2 linked regions of the Lepisosteus oculatus genome follow. The protein of the gene in region 2 interacts with the protein of the main gene of each other region in a pairwise test. Links are inferred from orthologs where the notes say so. Each region holds a gene or a part of one and is shown on either strand. Other genes may lie near its edges.

Region 1 (3,752 bases), on a different chromosome or scaffold from region 2:
CATATTTGACCACTAACGTGGGCTTTAATCAAGCAACAGATTGTGGTTAAACACTGATCATTCAGACAACCATGGTGTATAACTGGTCTCATCTATACATGAGACATTCTGTAACTTGCTGCCAGGCTCTGTTCTGCTTGACATTCCAGTCTATGAAATACTTTCTTTGTTGTTAGAATGAAATAGAACAGTACTGGCAATTCTACATTGTAATGATTATCCGGAATAATGCCAGCTGGAAGATGAGGAAATGTTGAGAGACCTTTTACGTTGCTATGTGATAAACCAAAATAGGTTTAAGGCCTCTGCACCTTACTATTATATAACATGAGACTGTCCATAGATTCTATCACAGTAGGCTTCTCAATACATATAAAGCACCCCTTAATATTGCCAGGCTATATAGAAGTCTTCTTCACCCTTGGTAGAATAGTCTGTGTAAGCATGACTTTTAGTCTGCACTGCAGCCCCCTTCCTCAGACCAGTTGCACTCTGCTGGGTCATACCTGAAACGCCAGCTGGCAGAGCTTGGTGATCCACTCTTGGGCTTGCTCTGACGCCAGAGTGTACGTGCGCTGGGTGGTGTTGAGGTAGAAGGCGATGCTGTCCTTGGGGCAGCTCTCATGGGGGGCCGAGGTGATGCTGACGCAGTCGTCCAGGCGAATCACCTTTTTGTCGGTCTTCTTCAGGCCCTGCTTCCCTGTTGCAGCGACACCCCCACTCCCCCCGTCTCTGATGTCACACAGCTCCACACGGCCGATCCCATAGGGGCTGGCCTGGAAGAGCATCACCCAAGTTCTCTTCCAGCTCTTCTGCACAGATAAAGCAGAGCACTCTTAGAGAAAGACAAAGACACTGCCTTGTTTCACAGAGAAACACAGAGTGCCTTCCGTGGAGTTTCCCCATTTTCTATCGTGCCAGACATCTGTCTTTGTTTTGCTAGCCTACACCTAACCCTTGTTCAATTCCTCTCTTGTAGCACACACTGGTGATTCTGCAACAGACAAAGACTTGGCAACCAGTACGAGCTGCACACATACAGCACGAAAGAAAAAAAAATACTACAAATTGGACCACATTTTCCACCCTGCAGCGAGAAAGGAACAGCAACTTCTGTAAACATCAGAAAGCATAACAGAAAAAGGGAACTTATAAAAAACTAATTGATTAAAAAACCAGATGTGGAAAAAAGATCTATGCAAAGTAAATAAACTGGAACAGAAAAATCTACAAGTAGTCCATTTTATTTCACAACAAAATGTAGGCAGAATTCTGCTTCTTAGAAACACAGATGTAGGGAACATATTAATGACAGCAAACAGGAAAATAGACATGTTTCTTCATAGCCAGGCCGTTTCCTGTGAGTTAGAGAAGTGTTTACAAAAATTAGATACTCAACCCAGATTATAAACCATCTCAAAAGGACAATGTGATGCAGCATAATTGTATATAAAATCATAGATTTTTTTAAAACAACAGCACATTCTAGATGAGGCCAGATGGTTCCAATGGATAACTAGCAAGAACTGTATATATTAAAGGCAAGAAAGCCCTGATTAGTTATTATGCTTGAGTACGCATCAAGTAATGCCAAAAACTGGCCATCATATTAAGTCAGGAGTTTTTAGGGATTCTTTTAATTGAACTCAAGGCAGCATATAAGAAATGTGAAGAATACTCCATTGTTTCATTTATGAAATTCAAACAAAAACTTAATTCCCCTAAACCACCAAACAGAAACAAAAACTCCACACACTCACTTTAGATCTGGCCCAGTAAGAGTAAAGAACACAAATTCCATGATCATGCCCATGATTTTTTATGTTTAATACGATTGCTGTTGGCCATATGAAAAAAAAAAGCAATGGAAGCATTAAGTCGCATAAGGGTTGTTCTTCATGGTTTTACGATCCTCTATTGATTGAATTTTGATTGGTAGTTTTTGATTTCATTTCACATAATGTGAGTTAAAACAAATATAATTCAGATAAAAAAGGGAAATAATAAATATTTGTGAACAAAAACTTGATGAATAACCAAACGCCTTATATTATGTTTGCCCACTGTACGGATTTATTATCAATAAACATAGGATGCAGAACAGAAATGCCTTTACATTTCTTTACTGAATTGCCAGAAACGAAGCAAAATTTATCTCAGATTTTCTAAGGATGCTCACTCTGTATTCTCAGTCTCAGAGCACATATCGTGAACATTAAACATGAGTATTGCTCCTTGCGTGAATGAAAGCTCAGAAATGGATACTTCAGAGTGTGGAGGATAATATTCATTTAAGCTACATCCACTGGTATCCTAAGAGTTAGCAGCCTGACGACTCCAAATCATGTCTGATATGCTAAAGTCAAATGACAAATACTGTAGCATGTCAAAGGCATTAACTACAGCTGCACTTTGGGGCCGATACCTACAGAACAAGCAAGTGAGAGGCGCAAACTCACCATCCCAAACTTGGCACCTTGCATGTATAACATTCCCTCCCTGGCAGGCTGTTCCATGGCGCTGCAGAAGCACAGGCAAGCTGGGCGCCGAGGCTGACAGCCTGAGCTCACAGTCCAGGGCACAGCTTCCTCTGTGGGCGAGCAGCGACTTCCCAGTGACAGGACGGCATTTCAGCACACAGTGGTCTGATTTCATAGCCCCGAGCAGGAGTCACGTGCTTGCGGGGCCCTTCAATGGTTGGAGAAGAGGACAAAAGGTTGCAGCTTCCTTTCCACCACTAGAAAATGATCACTCTTTCAGTGAACACCGCTTGGTTTTACAACTGAAATGTAGCTGTGGGTCCTGTCTGAACTATGCACTGCATGCGCCCTGCCCCCAGTTAACTCCATCTACATCAAACATTTCACGTGCCCTCTGAAGTAAAAAAATAAAATCAGCTTTTTTAAAAATAAAACCGGCCAACTCAGAAATGTAAATCAGTTCTCAACGATTTGCACTACTGGGGTTTAAAACAAGAACAAGCTTGTTTTAATTCAGAAAATGCAAAGTAGGAAAACTTTTTTTATTTTTAATAGTCTCCGAAATGGACATAGTACATTGTCTGGATAACACTGTATGGCTTAAAGCAGGGGTCTCTAAATCTGGTTCTGCAGATCCCCACTCCAGTTAGTTAAAGAGGTCACCCCAAACTCACATTTTTTAAAGATAAAAAACACTTCAATTGAAGAGTGTTCTGGTTTTTGGTCTTAATGAATTCTACTATACCAGATCATCCATTTCATTTATCACAGGCAAATTGCTACATATAAACAAGTTACTAATAAAACTGCTGGTCTGGGAGTTGGAGGAGTTAGAGACCCCTGGTGTAAAGAGTAGGCCTTGATCGGGGAGCTACAAGGCACATGCAAAGTTCTACAAAGCGGACGATTTTGCTCTCAAAAGCTGAGATAAGACCAGTATCAAGCTGCCGCTGCAATCTCAATCACATCAAAATCAATACCAGAACCATCAAACTCCTCAAGGACTAAGCAGCTCAACATAAGAGACGGAACTCAAACCTATTGGGTTATCACGTGCCACTCATTCACATGTGAAAACAGGCGTTGTGACACCTAAAACATGCAAAAGACACTCGCATGCTTTCTTGACAAACTACCATACATACTGTATGTGCTTTTTCATTATTAAACTATGACTATCACTCAGAAAGAAAAGAATCAGGGAATCAGGTTTACTGTTCTTTTATTTACATTATTCCAATGTAGCAGCTTAAATTTACAGCTTAACCTTAA
Region 2 (3,752 bases):
GAGGGTTTTAATGTAATTACATCAAGTACCGCGCAGCATGTCAGGACTAATTTTACGACGCATCAAGTCGATGTTTACGGAGTGTGAGTTATCTCCGCCCTCCGCCCATAGATGCGCTATAACAGGAGTCATAATTTCTTTTACCGCGTTCCCCTTTTTATCAGATAATTCATTCGGTCATCTTTTCGGGGGAGGTAACCGATGAAACGAGAGGAGGTAGCACCTTCATACAGTAACAGCTTTACCATCTTTAGTGTTTTTAAATCTTCTTTCAGGGACACTACTTCCAAACCGTTTAAAAAAACGGTTACCAGAACAGTAAAAGGAAAAGGGGTCTTAATGACTTAATGACTCTTTCGACATGAAAATCTTAAACGAACCTTAAATTGTAAGCGTTAATTTGTCTGAAAGGATTTCGTAATCGAAGCCTGTATCTATATATAGACATCGTCAAGACTCGCCATTGTAAAGATGCTTTGTGCAATATAGCGTTAGGCAACTGTACGGTTTTAAGAGGCACATGCGTTCGGCTATTTCCGTCAGTGTCCAGATTAAATTATTACAGATTAGGAGGAAACACAGTTACTGAAGAACAGACGCTTAAAGAACCACTTAACAGACACGAAAACGGCTCTCTTTCCTTATCAGAAATGAATTTCGCTGCACCCTCGTTCAGCTTCTCCGATTTAAGTTTCTGATGAAATTAAACTGCAGTTTTCTACCTCCTTTCAATGTTTAATTACATTTTCTGCAATTAAAAGAGGTGACGCGTTAGCTGCTTGGAGTTAGGTTTCGAAGTCAGGTCGGTGACACACGCCTGCAGGGTGGCTCAGCTCCGCGCTTGCTAAGGCTGTGAGAGACTACGGGCGTCTTTTTTAAATGCACACTGTTCGTATTTACAGTACACATCTCGCCGAGAGCGCTCAGGAGAAGGAGGAGGAGTGCAATTCACACATGCTGGACTACTAGGAGTATGAATGACCGCAGCACGGACAGCTCCTTGCACGCCGGACGCAGTGCCCCTCTCCACACCCTCGCCCCTCCTGCGCGCCCAGGTACCGCGGGGGAGTCCAGTCCACCCGGCCCGCGCACCGGTGAAAACCCACAGAACAGAAAACGTTTCAGTCCCAGATTTCACGCGTGGAAAAACGAGCGGCATCGTAGACGTTTTCGCGTTGTTTACTGATATTGTTTTAAAAAAGATGCAAACTCGAAAGTGTGCACAAACAACACGAAACCACAAAACAAACGACCGGGGAAGCATATACAAAACAGCAAAACAGCGCAACGAAGGCAAAAATAATCATGACCTATTTCTTGGTCGGTGTCTGATATGTTAAAGGGATTATAACGTCTCTTCGTGTTGTGACGCTCTTCTGTTGTCTCTTGTATTTTTCATCAGCTTCATGGGGAAATAATTGTCAGGTGTTCTTAATATCGCACGTCAAAATTAATCGAAGTGGGTGCCTTGCGATCAACTACACAAAAGAAAAAAATGACAGTAGCGATATCTTGCGACATCTGCATAAACCCAACCAAATTTGTCACACGTTTTTCCCACGAACTGATTTCGAGCATATCAAGCGCCAAACAAAAGACGGATTCCCTTGCAGTGTGCACCAGCCCGTAATGTGTTATTAAACATGGCGAGGTAAGGAAAGGGAGGTCGACTTCTTGAAATGTGGAAGCAAATATTCAAAGAATGTTTGCCCGGCGCAACCCGATAGCAAAGGTGTGCTGAGGTCCGCGTCAGAGACAGGAGAGTTGAGGGGAAAAAAATATTTGCAAAGACGTGGGCTGAACTGGGTCTATCAGATCGTTTGTTATCGGCTCAAAACTGTATTTGTCCAAGAAAAAAACGATTAAATCTTGGGGGGTGTGCTTTGGACACCCAGGGTTACGCTTAGGCATTCTGAAGACTCACTCTTTCACCCACTCAATAATAATCTTCAAACCGCGTTTTGCACAAACCCCCCCTCCTCCTTCTCTTGCTTTCCTCCTCCACCCGGGCCGGACCCCTTCTCCCTTTCCTTGTACCTGCACCGGCAGGTCCGGTCTTCCCCCCACCTCTCACCTGAGCAAACTCGAAAGCGGGTGAGATGAGGAACTGTGACCGCCGCCTCCTCCGCCGCCGCTCCCTCCGCCTCCCGAGGACCCTCCACCGATCCCCGCCGACTGCCGCTTGCCGGATAGCAGCTTCTCGACGGCGGCCAGATTCCCAGTGCGGGCAGCCTCCAGGAGCTCCTGCTCCTTCCCCATCTCGGCTCGAGAATGGAGCCAAAGAGGGAGGCACACGCAAGGCAGCGGCTCAGGCGATTCCCTTTCAGCCTGGTGTCCCAGAGGCCAAGACGCGTATCCAGGCTCCAACAGCAATGCTCCCACTGACAATAATCCTCCACAGTTGATCGATGTTTTTCCTCGCGGCAACTCGCGCCCCGGATCCCTGCTCCACTCCGCCGCTCCAGGGAAAGTTTCTTTCAGCACCACCACCGGCCAAACTTCCTCCGACTGCCCCCCCGACACGTCACTTCCTTAGGACAGCCTCCTCCTCATGATGTCATTTGGTTACTTTCCAACGTCATTTCACAACAGCCCCATTACCCCATACCTGGTACAACCGGTAGTGAAATCCTATCACCCACTACCTCCCCCACAAGTCTGGATTTAAGTCACTTTAATAATGCGCTGAGAATGCCAAGAATTGCAAGACAATCGCATTTCGTTTTAATGCAGCTCAGCACAAAGAAATAAATATTCGTATCAGTTTCTTTGTGTCGGAAACAAATCAGATGTAACACGTTAAATGTATCAGAATGTATTTAGATGTGTCTACAAATTAAAGGAACTACCAAACACGAGAAAACAATATTACCACATACACTTCATTAACTATAACGGATATCCGCTATTAACAAGTGTAAGTCAGATAGGGCTGTTCAGCCTGCAAATACTGAAATAAATTGATATGTGGGGGACTTTTATTTGGGTGGGCAAAATTGCGGAGCATAGCACGCGTGGGCTAGAGCCCTTAAGTGTAGTCTAAGAGGCTGTGGTTTTTGCTTATGTAGACGTTATCTCTGAAGCCAGTAATGGAGCTGAATCCTAAACAGGTTGAGCTTCTATTTGTGAGAAATACATTTTAATCGACACGGTTTGTTCCAGGTATAGCTCGTGAAATGGATTTTGTCGGGTAGGGTGACTTTAAACTCTCCTGCCCCACCCAAGCTCAGTCCTGGTACCGACCTGCCTGGATGTCGGATATTCTTCTGTGCTGGGGTGTCTTCTCTGTGGAGTCAGCAGGTTACTCCTGTGGGCTGTTGCGTGGTGTGCCTGCCAAGTTAGACTTAGGGTAGGAGAGCAAAAAAATAATCAATTGCTTATTTACAGGAGGCAACTTTATTTCCTAGTTTTATATTTAACCGTTTGTTATGTTCTCCTAAAATGTATTATCCAGATAATGGAATTTGAAGGCTTTGCCCTCCTCCGCACTAAAATTCCGTTCCCATGGTTAATTCCTGTAGTGCAGTTCCATAGTCATATGTAGAAAAGCAATATTTGAATACAGTCTGCTGAGTTTCAGACAGCAGCTTCCTTACTAATGCAGTTATGGCACTGATCAGGTCACTTCACTTCAAATGCGGTTGTTCATTAAAAGATTCTTCATCTTTTTCTGTACGCCCAGCAAACCCAACACCCCTGGCAGACCAGCTGTTTCTTGCGTTTTCTTCTCTTCCCGGGTCGGGATCTCAATA

What was found. The genes of interacting proteins can lie anywhere in the genome.
Region 1: the proteins of ankyrin repeat and SAM domain-containing protein 1A (region 2) and dok3 interact in a two-hybrid assay, tested with the Homo sapiens proteins (2 studies listed by BioGRID and IntAct). The link is inferred for Lepisosteus oculatus from reciprocal best matches to the Homo sapiens genes ANKS1A and DOK3.

The regions. Positions count from the first base shown.
Region 1 is NC_090706.1:38,037,582-38,041,333, forward strand, and holds the start of dok3 (docking protein 3), read right to left. Parts: upstream 2,864-3,752; 5' UTR 2,517-2,863; coding exon 2,460-2,516; intron 813-2,459; coding exon 507-812; intron 1-506. UniProt on the Homo sapiens protein: DOK proteins are enzymatically inert adaptor or scaffolding proteins. They provide a docking platform for the assembly of multimolecular signaling complexes. DOK3 is a negative regulator of JNK signaling in B-cells through interaction with INPP5D/SHIP1.
Region 2 is NC_090700.1:29,936,336-29,940,087, reverse strand, and holds the start of ankyrin repeat and SAM domain-containing protein 1A, read right to left. Parts: upstream 2,685-3,752; 5' UTR 2,260-2,684; coding exon 2,075-2,259; intron 1,056-2,074; exon of another isoform or gene 1,034-1,055; intron 1-1,033. UniProt on the Homo sapiens protein: Regulator of different signaling pathways. Regulates EPHA8 receptor tyrosine kinase signaling to control cell migration and neurite retraction.